2 linked regions of the Lonchura striata genome follow. The protein of the gene in region 1 purifies or fractionates together with the protein of each later gene. This does not show direct contact. Links are inferred from orthologs where the notes say so. Each region holds a gene or a part of one and is shown on either strand. Other genes may lie near its edges. The genes, in order: organic cation/carnitine transporter 2 and YIPF3.

What was found.
Region 2: the proteins of organic cation/carnitine transporter 2 (region 1) and YIPF3 purify together in Homo sapiens (co-immunoprecipitation; 3 studies listed by BioGRID and IntAct, counting the BioPlex papers as one, with this or other methods). This does not show direct contact. The link is inferred for Lonchura striata from reciprocal best matches to the Homo sapiens genes SLC22A5 and YIPF3.

Annotation. Positions count from the first base shown.
Region 1 is NC_134617.1:10,713,939-10,721,653, reverse strand, and holds the start of organic cation/carnitine transporter 2, read right to left. Parts: upstream 4,385-7,715; 5' UTR 4,320-4,384; coding exon 3,927-4,319; intron 1-3,926. UniProt on the Homo sapiens protein: Sodium-ion dependent, high affinity carnitine transporter. Involved in the active cellular uptake of carnitine. Transports one sodium ion with one molecule of carnitine.
Region 2 is NC_134605.1:36,008,583-36,016,297, forward strand, and holds the start of YIPF3 (protein YIPF3), read right to left. Parts: upstream 4,913-7,715; 5' UTR 4,899-4,912; coding exon 4,818-4,898; intron 4,745-4,817; coding exon 4,538-4,744; intron 4,459-4,537; coding exon 4,352-4,458; intron 3,767-4,351; coding exon 3,721-3,766; intron 3,426-3,720; coding exon 3,333-3,425; intron 2,998-3,332; coding exon 2,866-2,997; intron 2,349-2,865; coding exon 2,235-2,348; intron 1,775-2,234; coding exon 1,651-1,774; intron 337-1,650; coding exon 215-336; 3' UTR 1-214. Other genes in the region: POLR1C (DNA-directed RNA polymerases I and III subunit RPAC1), read left to right, coding at 5,002-5,070, 5,162-5,233, 5,316-5,423, 5,945-6,077, 6,182-6,301, 6,468-6,620, 6,779-6,928, 7,438-7,554. UniProt on the Homo sapiens protein: Involved in the maintenance of the Golgi structure. May play a role in hematopoiesis.

The sequences.
Region 1 (7,715 bases):
ATTTTCACTCCTCTAGTTGTTTTACATTTTTTACAGAGATAAAGCTTGCATAGAACAGGAAGGAAATAGACCAATATTTTACAATTCCAGTGCAGAAATGGAACTGTTCCCCATACATCACATTTTTGAGATAGCTGGAGAGAAAGGAAACAAGGGCACTGCCATCACCTGAGGTAAGTTTGAATTTAAAAGTAAAGGCAACATAAAGGAAATTTTACCTTGTCACTAACTGTCCACAGTGCCTCTAAAAGAGCACTGTTTCCATTTAACAAGATCAATTGCAGGCCTACTATTCTTTAACAATGTTAACCTTACTTTATGTTGTGATGTCAGAAATAGCTGTACTTTTTACAATTCCAAACACTACTGCATGATGTGCTTTTTAAATCACACCTTGAAAAACCCAGCATTTTGCGAATACCTTTGTTTATTTGTCAGACATTTGTATTTACTTACTAAACGAAAACCAGACTTTCTTTTCCTTCTTCTGACAAGACTAGTAATACTAAGCTTTTGCAAAGCTGCAAACGGCTTTTTCAGCTCCTAGGGCTCCAAAGTTATGAGTATAAACTTCATCTACAGTGATAAGCAGATATTAACCCACAACAATAAAAAAGAAGCACCTGTTTTAAAAGATGATAAATAATGGAGGTGACTAACATTAATGAAAAGATGGGTGAGAGCTGAACCTGGATAACACAAGGTTGATTTACAATTCAGCTGCTGGCCCCACTCCTGCAACAGCCTGGTCTAAAGCAAGGTGTCCCTAAAGGAAGGGGGTTGAAATAGGTGATATTTAAGGTCCCTCCCAATCAATAAAAAACAGTCTATGATTCTATGACTCTATAAATTACAACATCTAGCATAAGTCTGTGTTTTTATTTTGGCAAAGTGAAACAATACATCCCTCTGTCTTCCAGCAGGGTGAACATGGAAACCTCTGGATACCCAGCTGTGCCCCAGAGCCCATTGGTGTCCTGCACATGTCACTGCTGCAGTCTCCCCTGGCTTCCTGCAGCCCTGGCATAACCCACTCATCTCCAGGGCCTGTGGTCTGACAGCACAGCAGGGCACTTGGATCCCTGGGGTGTGCAGAATGGAAACCTCTGGGCCCTTGTCTCTGCCCAGAACTTTCCCTCTCTGAACACCCAGACAGGATGGAGCACCAGCCCTGCACATAACCAGCCTCTAGACACCTGGCAATTCCCACCATGTCATCCTTCCTCTGCAAAAGCCAACAGGCCCAAAAGTTTGCCAACAGCAAAACAGGCACAAAGCATGCAAAAATCTGGCATACACCACCTGCACTGATTTCAAGCTGATGAACAATACAACACCTTTTTAGAAGCTAAGGATGAATAGGTGTATCCAAAATTCAGCATCTGTTTATGGTTCACTGTTTAAGAATTACTCTTGTGTGAACTAAAATGTTCTGACTGATGTATCATCTAACACCTCATTATATCATATTTCTAGTGCACTCATGCCCTTAACTGCACTGCTGAATTCTACTCCTGGTATAGCCCCATAACAGCTCTGACTGCTAGAAGTTAATATTTTCCCTTAATTACTCCTGGTTTAGTCCTTTTACTACCATGTATAAACTTTTACCATTCCTACATTCATTTTTTTACACAGACTTATGGAGGAATTAGAATGACACAGTTGGTTTCTTGAGCCAAAATAAAGCCCTTCTTATGCCCTGAGCTACAGCATTTCAAAAAGTAAAAGACAGAAAGGGATTCTGTTACACCAAGCTGGTTAAATACTGCAGACTGGCTAATAATAACCTTCTGTTGTTAGTCTGTGAGAAAAGAAAGTCTCTCTTCAAGTAGGAGAGAACTGAATGTTTTAAGTCTCCCCTGAAAAGCAGAACCATAAACAAGGTTTCTCTAAAGTCATGAGAGATTCAGCAAAAACCTTTCTTAATAAAAAAAAATCCCCCTTCCCCCTCCCAGTGTCAGCTATGGAAATCTGGGACAAAGGTCCTCATGATTATTCAACATGTTAGAGATATGCAACTAAACACAAGATTAGTTAATCATAAAAGCAGCACCACCAAGCCAAGAAATTAAACAAGTTAAACACTGAAAACCTGTAAGTGTGTGAAAGGCCACAGCTCTTTCAAAACTCCCTCAGATGCATTCATATTAGAGGAGAAAAAAATACTGCCTCAGTGCATGATGCCTGGGCAGACAAACATTGCCTCCCACGGGCACGGGACATCTGCCAAGTCACACAGACAAGGAGCCAGGCCTGGGCAGTCTCAGCACTGTGTGTGAGCAGCACCCTTTTCTTATAGACTGTAAAACTCCTGCACCATACTCCAATAGCTCAAGACATTTTCATTAACATCAAGCCAAAGCTGAGTGAAGCTCTAAAGAGAAAGCACTAGATCTAAGCCAGGATCACAGCACAGCACTGGGAACACCCATGTGCCCCTGTGAAAGGTCTGCCCCAGAAGATGCCAACTGCCTGACACTGCCCTGAGAGTACTCAACCTTTCACAACAGCCTTTCCAGCAAAGACTGGAGCTGAGACATTCCCAGCAGCTTTCCTCTCCAGTAAAACAGCAATTCTTTAGGAGCAGATGAGGCAATGCCTTGCACTTGTCAGAATCATTCAAACCCTTGACTGAGTTTCCTACAACTCCTGTGTCACCATTTCTAATCCTCCTTGTGCTGCCATGGCTCCTTAGTGCCCAGATCAGCTTATGGTCCTTTAGTTCTCACACCCATCACTGTCCAAACACTGACCACAGCCCTATTTGCAAAACAAGAAATCATGGCAGGTTTGTTATGGAGCTCCAGCTCCATAAAACTCAATGGGACTGTACAGGCTTTGTGAGCCTTCTGAAAAAGGCCTATACTTGTATTGAAACTCAAGTGTTCCTCAAAAGTACTTCTCAAAACCCATTTCCTTGCTTCTGTGGGTCTGCACAGCTTTCATCTGAAAGCAGTGACAAGCAGCTCAGCTTCACCTTTGGTAAGGTTACCCACAGCCCAGACTTGATGCAAGCGGTGTACCTGCACAGACACAAACATGACCTGTCCCAGCACGTGAGCACAGAGACCAAAGCAGAGGCACTGTGGGCACACAGTTCAGAGTCCTTTGAATAAAGCATCAAACCAGGCCTCCCCAACCCGTGCATCTTGCACAACTCAGGGTGACGCTAAACTGTGAGAGTGGTGACACACTGGCACGGGCTGCCCAGAGAAGCTATGAATGCCCCATCCCTACAAGTGCTCAAGGCAAGGCTGAACAGGGCTTGGAACAAGCTGGTCTAGTGGAAGGTGTTCCTGCCAGGGGGTTGGAACTAGATGTTCCTTAAGGCCCCTTCCAACACAAACCACCCTGTGATCCTATGAGTTCTACCACCTTTATTTTTTTAAAGAAAGAAAATAAACATAAAACTTGATGTTCAAAAAGACATCTCTATCACACCAAGCTGAACCCAGTGCTGACCCTGCTCCAGCCCCTTGCACGGATACCCGATGAACCAAGATTTGCAGAGTGATCAGTTTCGCTGGGTAAGGAAACAGGTTTCACTTGGAAGCTCATTATAGAAACAAACAATGTTAAGGGATTGGAATGGACATTATAAAGATCATTCAGTCCCTGCCACGGACAGGGACACCTCCCACTAGAGCAGGTTGCTCAAGGCCTTATCCAACCTGGCCTTGAACACTGGAGATCCACAACCTCCCTGGACAACCTGTTCCAGTGTCTCATCACCCTCACTATAAAAATTTCCTTCCTCGTTCTTATGCAAATGACAGTGAACAGAAGACCCCAGAATAAACTCGGCATGGCAGGTTTAGCAGCAGATCAATGAGCCGGCAGAGAACGCGGCGGAGCTGCAGCGGCACTGCGATAACCCCGCGGCTCTCCCGGCACGCCGGGATTCCCCTCCCGCTCCCGCGCACCTCGGTGACGATGGTGGAGCGATAGACATCGCGGCTGTACTCCCAGCCGTCCAGGCACGGCTCCAGCTCCAGCGCCTCCAGCTCCACGTCGGAGCCGGGTCGCAGCCCCAGCGCCGAGAAGTTGGCGAGCGCGGCCAGGCGGTAGCGGCGGCAGCGGCTCGGCACCTCCTGCCCGCCCCGCAGCTCCAGCGGGATGCTGGCGTTGCGCCACTCGCCGCTCAGGTTGGCCCCGCGGGGCACGGCGCACCGGTGCTCGGGCGTGCCGGCCAGGAACACGATGGAGAGGCCGTTGAAGCCATTGGGAATGATGCTGGCGCTGAGCAGAAAGAAGACGAGGCGCTGGAAGAGGCCCCATTCGCCCAGGAAGGCGGTGGCCGCGTCGTAGTCGCGCATGGCGAGCGCGGCCGAGCTGCGGTGCCGCGGCTCCGAGAGGCGCGGGCAGGAAGCGGCCGCCCCGCTCGGCCGCGCGGCCCCGCGCCCGGCCCGGCCCGGGGGCGGGCCCGGGGAGGCCGCGCCGCCCGGCGGGGCGGGCCCGGGGCGCTCCGCCCGGAGGCGCGGCGGGGGCTCGGCCGGGCCGGGCCGGGCCGGGCCGGGTGCGCCACACGCGGCGGGGCGGGCCGGGCCGGGCCGGGCCGGGTGTGCCACACGCGGCGGGGCGGGCCGGAGCCGGCCCTGCGCCCGGGCGCTTTGCGGCTCCCGCCGGGCCCAGGGCTGCGCGACGGCTGCCCTGCCCTTCGTACCTTGCAGTCAGGAACGGCCAAGAATTCCAAATCCAAAGTGGAGGTGAATTGTAGTCAATGAGGTTGGACAGGACCCCGCAGATCATCGCGTCCAACCTATGACCGAACGGCATCTCGTACCTCCCGTGGTGCCGCCGGTGCCACGTCCAGCGCTCCCTCGGACACGCGCGGGGCCGGGGCTCCGCCAGGGCCGTTCCCGCAGCGCCGGCCCGCGTGTGAACCCTTCGTGGGGAGCGCCTGCTGTGGGCTGGTACCGAGCCAGGAGCCTGCAGGCATTGCCCTGCCCATCAAAGCACGGCGGTGCTGCGAGCTCAGCAGTTAAAGGGCTCCTCTGTCACTCTGTGTCACTCTGTAGCACCTTCCCACAGCTGCCATTGTCCCTTCAGCAGGCTCAGCTGAAGCTGTAAAAAAGCTTTCCTGACCCTGACGCTATTTTCGCAGGCAATGCGTACTACATGCTTGACAAATAATAAATTTAATAAATAATATTCTAATCCCAGGCCCAAAATCCCAGCTCAGTACCTAGCGGTATAGGCAGGAAGTTCACAGAGTCCCATACAAGGCAGTTCAAAAGCTGAATTGCATGACTGCAGAAATTTGATCCTGCTCTTCATAAAGCTAACTCACATTTTCAAGTGTCTTCTTTTTCCCACCACTAACTGATAAAAAAAAAAATAGTGTACCTTTTACAGCATTTTTGAACACTTGTATTTAAAATGATCTTTTATCCCTGGGTTGGAATCACATGGTTGTGAAAAATCTCAAAGGTGGAAAATGAATGACATAATAGGAGTTAAATCACAAAATCATCCTTGAGCCTGGGTGGGGTCAGCTTCCAGGGATTTGCACCTGAAAGGCAGAAAAACTGTACCACGCCATTAAAATCTTCATGTGTGGAAGAACTTAGTCGGTGAAAGAGCTTATTTCAGGATTTTTTTTCATGCCCAATCCACGCTAAATACTTTTTCTTATTTATTTATTTAAAATTCTTGGCACCAAGTGTTTATGTTCGGAGACCTGCTCTTCAAATAGAATCCACACAGGACAAAGGTTGAAACAATGTCAGTGCACATTTTTATTGCAATGAAAACAGAGGGCGATGACTGACAATTACTACAATTTCATATAATTATTAGCAGACCCAGCAAGTCAGCTGAGGCCAAGGTTGCACAGAGAGACCCCAGTAAAGGTGACAGAGGTTACAGATGAGGCACAGGGTGATGACCCTGTCAGTGAGAACAATCCAGCTGGGGCTTCCCTCATTTCCACTATGCTCAGACTCCATAAGGCCTTGTAACAACATCACATAATTTTAATAAAGACATTCCACTCCCCTGAAAGATTATTAAATCTGCTGCAAAAAATACTATGTGATGCTAGCTTGAGATCAATGGTTTAAGTAAGAAAAATGAGACTGGTTATAACATGGTATTTTAAATACACTGTACTTTTTCTTATTTAAAAAAGGAAAAACAGGTTTTAAGATACTGAAAGGTTCAAGAGTACAAAAATATTTACCTTTTAGAAATACCCAAGCCTACAATCGCATAAAATAAGTCTCAAAATAACAATCTTCATAAAAATATGGCCACCTATATAAAACTCAAGTCCTCAAACCTGTCCTATGCTGATAAAAAGGCTCTCTTGAGAAATTTAGTTGCATCTAAACAATACTTCTTTAGATTAACTCTGTAAAAGTAAAAGCAAGATTAAATACTGCTGTTATTCGAGAAATTGACTAAGAAGGGATGAGAAGATCAGGAGTCACAGGTTCCCTTATGCCATGTTACATTTATGGCAAAAGCATAATTGCAGGAAATTAAAAATAGTATTTCAACTCCCAAAAGCAGCTTGAGTTAATTGCACAAGTTCCTTGCAGTTGTTATAAAGCTTTATATTTGTGCTTGAACTTCAGGGAGAGCCACATTCTTGTGCCAAGAGCCAGCACAAGACAATCTACCCTGAACTCAGGCATTAGAGATGAGACACTGTGCTTTTGTTAGCCCTTATAGAAGGTGAATCAGGGCTAATTGTTATTTATAGAGGATAAAAATCAGTCTATCAGGTCTGATAGACTATAAGTGACCAATAAGTGCACATACAGCCAATAAATACAAAAACAAGAGGAATTACACTCTTCAGACAATGTAGTGTTCATAAAACAGTAGTAGCACAACTCTGAGTTCTACGTTTATCTTCATCCAATCTAGCTTTGCTGAACTCAAAAAAACCCAAAAAAACCCAAAACATACATAATCTGTAGGATTTGAAAAACAAAACACTGGTTTTGTTGGTGTTTGGGGTTTCTTTTAATATAAAAACCTCTGTGGTCTCAAATTAGTCCTTTTGAATTTTTAATAGCCGCAGGTGACCATATCCAGTACAGAAAATCAGATTTTTGTGAGCATCTAATTGTCTTTAAGTTTGTAAATCTTATAAAGGTTTTGTGAATGCTTTTGAAACTGCAGTGAGGGTTCTCTGAAGGTGCAGAACAAAGTGGTATATATTCAAAGGAGAAATTAAATACTTTGGGAAAAAGAAAAAACAACACCCCAAGAGAGCTAAAAAACAGCTTATGCTCATATACCACGAAAAACCTGAAAGCTATAATGCATGGAAGGTTGGGATAGGATCATGGACTTGCTACAGCTGACTCTTCTGTTCAAAGTGGGTGTGACCCACCAGAAAGTCAGCAAATTATAGTCCTTACTCAGTGCTCAAGATTTTTCCCCTTCCCCAAAGCCACTGAAGATTCACAAAGCTGAGGGTTCTGGGTGGGCTCAGGCTTTATGAAAGAGCAGCAGCTTTTACAGGAACAGGGGGATCCCAGGTCCTGGGAGAAGCAAGTGACATCTAAAGCCACTCTGAGGGTAAGTTTAAAACCCATGTCCTTACAGGGAAGTCTGTCTGCTCTGCTACAAATGAATTTTGACTCCACTTAGTCTATGGGCTTTGGCCACAGATTTCAAAGGAGGCCAGGATCTTTCTTTCTTTCTGGTTTTGAAAGGCAGACACCCAGCTCTCCTTCCTCCAGTCAACACACGAAGTG
Region 2 (7,715 bases), on another chromosome or scaffold:
TGGGGGAAGAGTGCAGCTCTTCTGAGTCACTGAGGTGTGACTCACTTCCACTGAGTCCACTCAACTGCCCAAAACCGCAATGCAGAGGACAGGTCCAGGAAAACAAAACCAAGTTGTCTTCTTGCTGTTCTGTCCTGTTCCTAACAGGCAGCAGGTTACTGTGGCCCTATGCAGCCCCAAAAGTAGTGAAGGAAGCAAGTCCAAGTCTGTAAAACTAGAGGGTCAATGCAATGGCTTTGGCTGTTGTGTTCAATACAGCATTGGAAACAGCTGGAATGTCTCGGGCAACTCTCTGAAAGGGCGGCATGTTGGGTCCTTCCAATGTGTCCAGGATACCTGGAGAACAGAAAAAAGGGGAGAAAAGCAAGAATTAATTCAGATGATAGCAGATAGCACATTTGTTTTTGCTCTTCTCTCTGTCCAGGTAGTGGTTGAGGGTGGCAGGGCCTGTACACATCAGAACTTGTGCTAGGGGCATGAAAGCTACATGCTCCCAAAAAGTACACAGATCCTTTTACTTTGAGGGTGTCAGACCCAGTCCCTGACATTTGACCTGAATGCAGGTACTGCCAGAGATGTTGCCCTGCTGAGGGAAATTGATAAAATCCTGTTTCTACTTCATTCCAGCACAGATCTCACTCTTAGACCAAGACTTTCTTTTATCCTGAAATACACTTGCAGACTCACATCAGGAACTGCAGCTGTGCTGCAATGTGGAATTTTTGTCACTGCAATGCAAACAGACCATGCTTGGCAGGAAATACACAGACCAATGCAAATGTCCTCAATTCTCTGTCAATTACCCTCTCAAGATTGATAATCAGTTTTGGAGTGCTTTGAGGAAAATTGCCTGGAGTATATTTTATTCTATTTTATCTGCCAGAAAGCTACAGGTCAGAACCTTTGCCATAAAAACAGATTCAGGAAGGACAGGATTTATATCCAAAAGGACTTGTAATGATATTATGCTAATTACGCAGATTTATCAAAAATATCACAAACACTGCCTAAACTGGCTGCCTAAACTCATAATAGACACTTGCAGAATTGCATATTTAGGGATCTGGAAACTCTCTAGAGATGGGGTAGGAGAAGAGTTCTGGTTTTGTTTGGTTTTTTTTTAAGGAAGTTGAAATTTTGTTAGGAGAAAAGAAGAAGAGATAGAAGGAGGACATGAAAATCCATGGCCTGGTTAACAGTACCAGCTGGGGAAGATATAGCTTCTGCTATCTGTGCTATACAACACAAGATACAATAATATGTTCAACAAAGAAGTAAAAACGTATGATACATTTCCTGATCAGAGAAAACCAACCTGACTTCAACAATATTCAGGAAGGGGCTGGACATCTGCATGCAAGAAGAGTCAGTGCTGTTACACTTCACTTGTGGAGAAATAATTACGATCCTGCCTCACAAATTGGGTCTTAAGTGCTAAAACTCAGTGCACAGCAACTACCCCAATGTTTACCTGCTGCCCTACTTGAACAGCTTCTTCTAAAAAGCTAGTGATAGTGATTTTAGAGTTGGAAACTGGCACAGATGCCCAAAAGGACAGATTCAAACTGTCCATCCTCTCTCTCAGAGAGAGAAAAAACAACTTCTCTTCCCCCAGATCTAACAAGATATCTTTGTATCTCCCTTGCTTACCTTCTACCACCTTGTGATAAGCAAAGTGCAGATAGAGGAGGAAAAGCATATGCAGAGCAGCAAGAGTCCCACACAGGATGAGCCGCTGGGTATGTCCCACGGTGCGTGAAACCAACACAGCAACCTAAGAGAGAGGAGGTGATCAGAGGCAGGGCACCTGCTACCTGAGCCGCTGGCACTGCAGTCAGAAACACATGGAAGAACAGGTCAGGCAGTGAGAATCTGCAGGAACACCACACTAAGTCTTTTTTGCAGTTTTCACCAACAAATTTGGAGAAATTTGACACTGTTTTGTATAGGTGAACATTGCCCAGTCTTGCCAAGAGTTCAGGATGCTCAGGCATGGCTCTCCACAGCAGCAAGAGCTGTAAGGGAGTAAATAAACCTCCTGCAGCTCTTAGAATGGGTGAGGATATTAATCCAAATAGCACTTCCATATAGCAGTGGCCAAATTATTCAGGAGCATCATTTTCTCCAGAGCAGTTCGTCTGGCTGTGAAATGAACCACCAGGCCAAGGAACAGAAAGCAAACACTTCCGTCCCTTTTTTTGTCCCAGAAAGACCCCAGGCTGCTTATCCCTTACCATCCGTAGTGTAGAGAGTCCACCAACAACCAACCAGAAGATATAGAAGAGGGAGTGGAAGTGAATATTATAGGTGACAAAGAGAGTGATGCAGTGTCCGAAAAGACCGTAGCCCTGACAAAACAAAAATGTCCATGTTAGAAGCACCGGTCCCACACAAAGGGCCATTGATCAAGAGCACAAACCGCCTATTCTTGCAACACTTCACCACAGCAAAGCCTCACAAACCACTCATTCACTGCCGAACAGTCAACCAGAACAACAACTTCAACAGCAGCTCACACACAGATAATCTAAAGGATTCACAGGCATGTCAGAGATTGTGACAACATGGGAAACAGAGGAAATATCCTCCAATCCCAGAGAAACTGGAGTTTCCTGGCTTTTTACCACCAGGTTCTCAAATCAGCAAGTTCAAAGCAGGAGACCTGCATAACGAACTGCCTCTTTGTACTATTGTTGTGCCTGGGATGGTGCAGGTCAGAAGAACATCCCAGAATTCCAGGTTGTCCCAGTGCAGTTACCTGGGACCAGCAGTTTACAAAAAGACTTTGCCTGTTTTTTGGGAAAAACTTATTCTGGAACACCATGCAGCCAGTGTGCATCATAGGGCAGCTCCATGAGTACATACCAATAGTGACAGCATCTGCACCATTGTGATTTGGGCATTGCACAGATATGCCAGGAAATACATGAAAGATGAGACACCCAGCCAGTAACCGAAGCAGGTGCCAATGGCTGTGCCCATCAACGTGCCTTCCCTCTGTGGAGACAGTGTCAGGATGAGGAGAACTCAAAGAAGTGACCTGCCAGTACCCAAATTAACCCATGGGAGTCCCGACACTTTGTAGGCATTATTAAACAGCTGCCCAGCAGCATTCAAGGGGCCACAGGACCTACACCCCAAGCTCTTCCAGCAGCATAGTGTCAAAACTTTCTGGTACATCCTTCTTCCCACCTCCAAACCAACATCCTCAAATCAATCTTCATTTCAGCAAGATGCTTATTCAGTTATAGAAGAGGTTTCCTCTCCTTTTCTAGTGTCATGGCAACCCAGAGCCCAGTCAAACCACCACTTATCACTGAAACTCGACGTACAATGATGGTGTCTGAGGTCTTCATTCCATGCAAAAGAATGGCCACCAGTGTGAAAACCAGCATGAGGGGTCCATACAGCTCGCCTGCAATCTTCTACAGGAGGAGACAGGTGAGGGAAAGTTTGGTTAGAGCCCCAGAATATCAGGGTTCCCACCACAGGTGATGTGAAAAGTGCACTGGATGAAGTTTAGCACCCAGGTTATCACCTGAGGTTAGGTGACAGCACGCTGAGGTTTGGAACAACCATGGGAAGGAGCCACCAACATTTTCAGGAAGAAGAACATCTAACAAACTTAGTCCTTAATAACATGGATTATTACAAGTTTTACAAGGTGTCTGTGGGACAGTCACTTGGCCATGGAGTCTGATTCAGCAAAAGGGAACTCACCTGTGGGAAATTAATCATCTTCACAGGAATCATGGACTCCAGCAGTCTGCATCACAGGAAAGCAGGGAATGACAACAGGAGCAGCGAGAACAACAGGAGAATTAACAAAATACTTCATAAGTAAAAGACACCATATACCCATTACCAGTGTTTGCTATTGTGTTGACAGCCTTTGAGGGACAGTGGATTCTTTCTAAAGGGTGAGTCAAGGTCACTAAAGAACGAAAACCTTCCTGTCAAGTGGGTTAACTTTGCTGAGGAGGGGCAGATTTAATGAAAATATTTAGGGATCCACTCAGGGATGAGAGATCATTGACAGAAGAGCAGGAAGGAAAGGCAAGTTTCCTCATAAAGTCTCACAAAACTTTGCTTCGTTGGACACAGCTGTGTTGCAAACCCAACAGAAGCCACATAGGGCAGCCAAGTACAAAAAGAGTCCCTTCTCCTACACTCAGCAGCAATGCCAGGTGACAGGGCTGCCAGCCCAAGCACAGCACCTCGCTAAGGCGGGCAGGACAAGGCACGATGTGTCTGCCCATAGGTGAGCGTTCCTGCGGGGGCAACTGGCGCTCGCTCGGGCCTGGCAGCCAGACTGCTGCGGGCTCGGAGCCGCTGCCTCCCCGCAGCCCACCTGGCTCGCACTTGGACGGGCTCCACATCGAAGTAGGGCCGGAGGATGTCGATGTTGGCGTAGAGGCTGAAGGCCCTGGAGGCTTGTCTCTTCCCCACCTGCCACATCTGCGGAGAGAAGGAGCGGGCAGCGGCCGGGCGGGCAGGCAGGACCCGGGGCCGGAGGCTGACGGGGGACAGCGCTCACCTGGTCAGCGACCTGCCGGCCCAGCTGCCCCCGCAGCCCCTTCATGCCCAGGAACTCCCCGTCCTCCTCCTCCTCGCCGGCGCCCGCCTCGCCCTCCGCCTCCTCCTCCTCCTCCTTCATGCGCTGGTGCATCTCCCCCATGTCCTCGAAGCTGGAGCCCGACGTGTCGTCCATGTTCTCCATGTCGATGACAGCGGAGCCACCACCCTGCGCCGGGGCAGACTCGGTGTCAGCACCCCCTCGGCCCGGCCCGGCCCCGCCGCCCCCGGCCCGGCCCCACCTGCATGTTGTCCTCGAAGCCGCCCCATTCGGCGGCGGGGGCGCCGCTCCTGCCGCCGCCCGCCGCCCCCGGCGCGGCCATGGCGCCGCTCCCGGCCCCGCCGCGCTGGCCCGGATGGGCGGGAGCGGATGTGACGGAGCCTCCCGGCGCAGCAGCACCGCCAGCAGCGCCGCCCATCGCGCTCATGGCGGCGCGGCGGGGCACGGACGAGATGCGGGACCGCGTGGTGCTGGGCGAGTTCGGCGTGCGCAACGTGAGCGAGCCCGGCGGGCGGGACGGGGCGGGGCGGCCGGCGCCCGCACCCCCTCACCCCCTCACCGCCCCGCCTTGCCCTCTCCCCGCAGGTCCACACCACCGACTTCCCCGGGAACTACCCCGGCTACGAGGACGCCTGGGACCAGCGGCGCTTCGAGGAGGTGGGTGAGCGGCGCCGGGCCGGGGCTGCCCGTGGGTACGGGGCCCTGCAGCCGGCTGACCCGCGGTGCGCGGCTCCCACAGGCGTTCCGCGTGGACGTGATCCGTGAGGAAGAGGACGCCCTGGAGTTCGACATGGTGGGCATCGACGCCGCCATCGCCAACGCCTTCCGCCGCATCCTGCTCGCCGAGGTACCTCTGCTCACCTGGTGGTGCCGGCCTAAGCCTGGCTTGACAGGGAGCGTGGAATGTCCAGCATTGTCAGCCCTTGCGGACAGCTGCGGGCTTTGGAAGAGAAGCACACGTTCGTTCCGCATGGGTGCCAGGAGCCCAAAGAGAATTAGGACTTTAGCAGCATGGGCAATAGCGCCTGCTGGTCCTAGGGGTGCTTTGGTAGTGTCTGCGGGTCAGCCATTTCAACACAGCTGCGTGGCCAACCCAACAGAAGCCACATGATGCTGCCAAGTACTAACAGGTTCAGGATGCCCCAAAGCCCTTTTTCCTGTCCTTCATCTCTTGATTGTTTAAAAAGACGGGGATAGGAATAGATGTGGTGTACGGGTATATTGCATAGCCTGATTTGGTAGAAATACCACTCAAAATAGTCTGCTTGGCAGTTATTTGTGGGAGAGGAGGGACACTTGAGCTGCATAATCTCTTGGCATGTAGTTCAACTATTGTCTTAAGCTGACTTGATCTCTTGTCTCCTTGAGGTGCCAACGATGGCTGTAGAGAAGGTGTTTGTGTACAACAACACATCCATTGTGCAGGATGAAATTCTGGCTCATCGGTTGGGCCTCATCCCTATCCGAGCTGACCCTAGGCTCTTTGAGTACAGAAACCAAGGTGAGAATCTTGAACAGAATAGAAATATTGAAGGTTTCTCTCAAAGTAGGAAATCAGGGTTGTGTAAACTGAGCAGAAGTGTGATTTCATATGCTTCTTCCCAGGAGATCAGGAAGGCACTGAAATTGATACTCTGCAGTTTCAGCTGAAAATCAAATGCAAACGAAACCCTCAGGCTGCCAAGGAATCATCTGATCCTGATGAACTATATTTCAATCATAAAGGTGAGATTGCTCCTAAAAATAGGTGCTGTTTTTTCTTTTTGGTTTTGGGCTGTTTTCTCAGCCCTGTGTGCTCACAGGGAGAGTTGATTCCATTCTGCTAAACTTTCTTTTTGCTATCTCCAGTCCTATACAGCAGCTGGCTGATGCTTGTGGCTTCTCTTTGCAGTGTACAGTAAACACATGACATGGGTGCCCCTGGGGAATCAGACAGACCTTTTCCCAGATGCTGACTTCCGACCTGTTCATGATGACATCCTCATTGCACTGTTGCGACCTGGACAGGAAATAGATGTGCTTATGCACTGTGTCAAGGGTATAGGTGAGTCGTGGCTCCTGGGGCAGCGGGAATGTTTGGAGTAGGGCACTGCAGTGTGATGGGGAAGGGTGGAGAACTGGCTTTTCCCCTGGAACTTCAGGCCTGAGCATCCTTGTTCCCTGAGGCCTGCTCTCATCCTTGACTCTTAACTCTTCATACAGGTAAGGATCATGCCAAGTTTTCTCCTGTGGCCACAGCCAGTTATCGACTGCTTCCTGACATTACTCTCCTGCAGCCTATTGAGGATGAGGCAGCTGAGATGTTGCAGAAGTGCTTCTCCCCTGGAGTCATTGAGATCCAGAATATCAATGGTACTTTTTTCCTGCGCTAACTGCCTTGTTCCTTGCAAGCTTTAGATTGGAGCTTAGAGCCAAACTTTGCAGAAACAAAACCACATGTAATGTTGCTGTGCTGATCAATGGTTCATGTTCTTCCGAGCCTACTTTTATGGATGAGTAGCTGCCATGTGCAGCATGTTGGGTGACAAACACGGATGTCCCTGAAATAAATTGGATACCTGTCCGCAGAGCTCTGCAGCTGTTGACTGCAGCTTGCAGTGCTGTTCAGTTGTGACACTGGGTAGTGAGCTGGAAAAGCAGCTGAGTGTGGAGACTTCTTGTATCTTTCTGGGGTGCATGTACGCTTTGTGTTTGGGTTTTCCTGCCAGGTTAGACTTTCATGTTGGGTATATGCTAATTCTTTTTATTGGTGTCTCCCAGCCTTTGGTGAGGAGGGAGTGCCTGTTTGAGGTAAGCACATGTTGTGACCATAAGGTATCCACCTGCTGCAATTTGTCCATCTCGTTTCATCTTCCCTTTAGGAAAAAAGGTGGCAAGAGTAGCCAATGCACGGTTGGACACATTCAGCAGAGAAGTTTTCCGACATGAGAGTCTGAAAAACCTCGTACGCCTGGCAAGAGTACGGAACCATTACATCTGTAAGTGCCTCGTTTTCCACAGAGTCCTGACATGGTTTGTGTGAGCAAGCAGTGACTGACCAGCATGCATGGCTGGCTCTGTGCCTCTTCCTACCCTCAGCATCCATACATTCAGAACGCAGTGAGTAACTACTTGCTTTGGGATTGAATCTCTTGGTGCT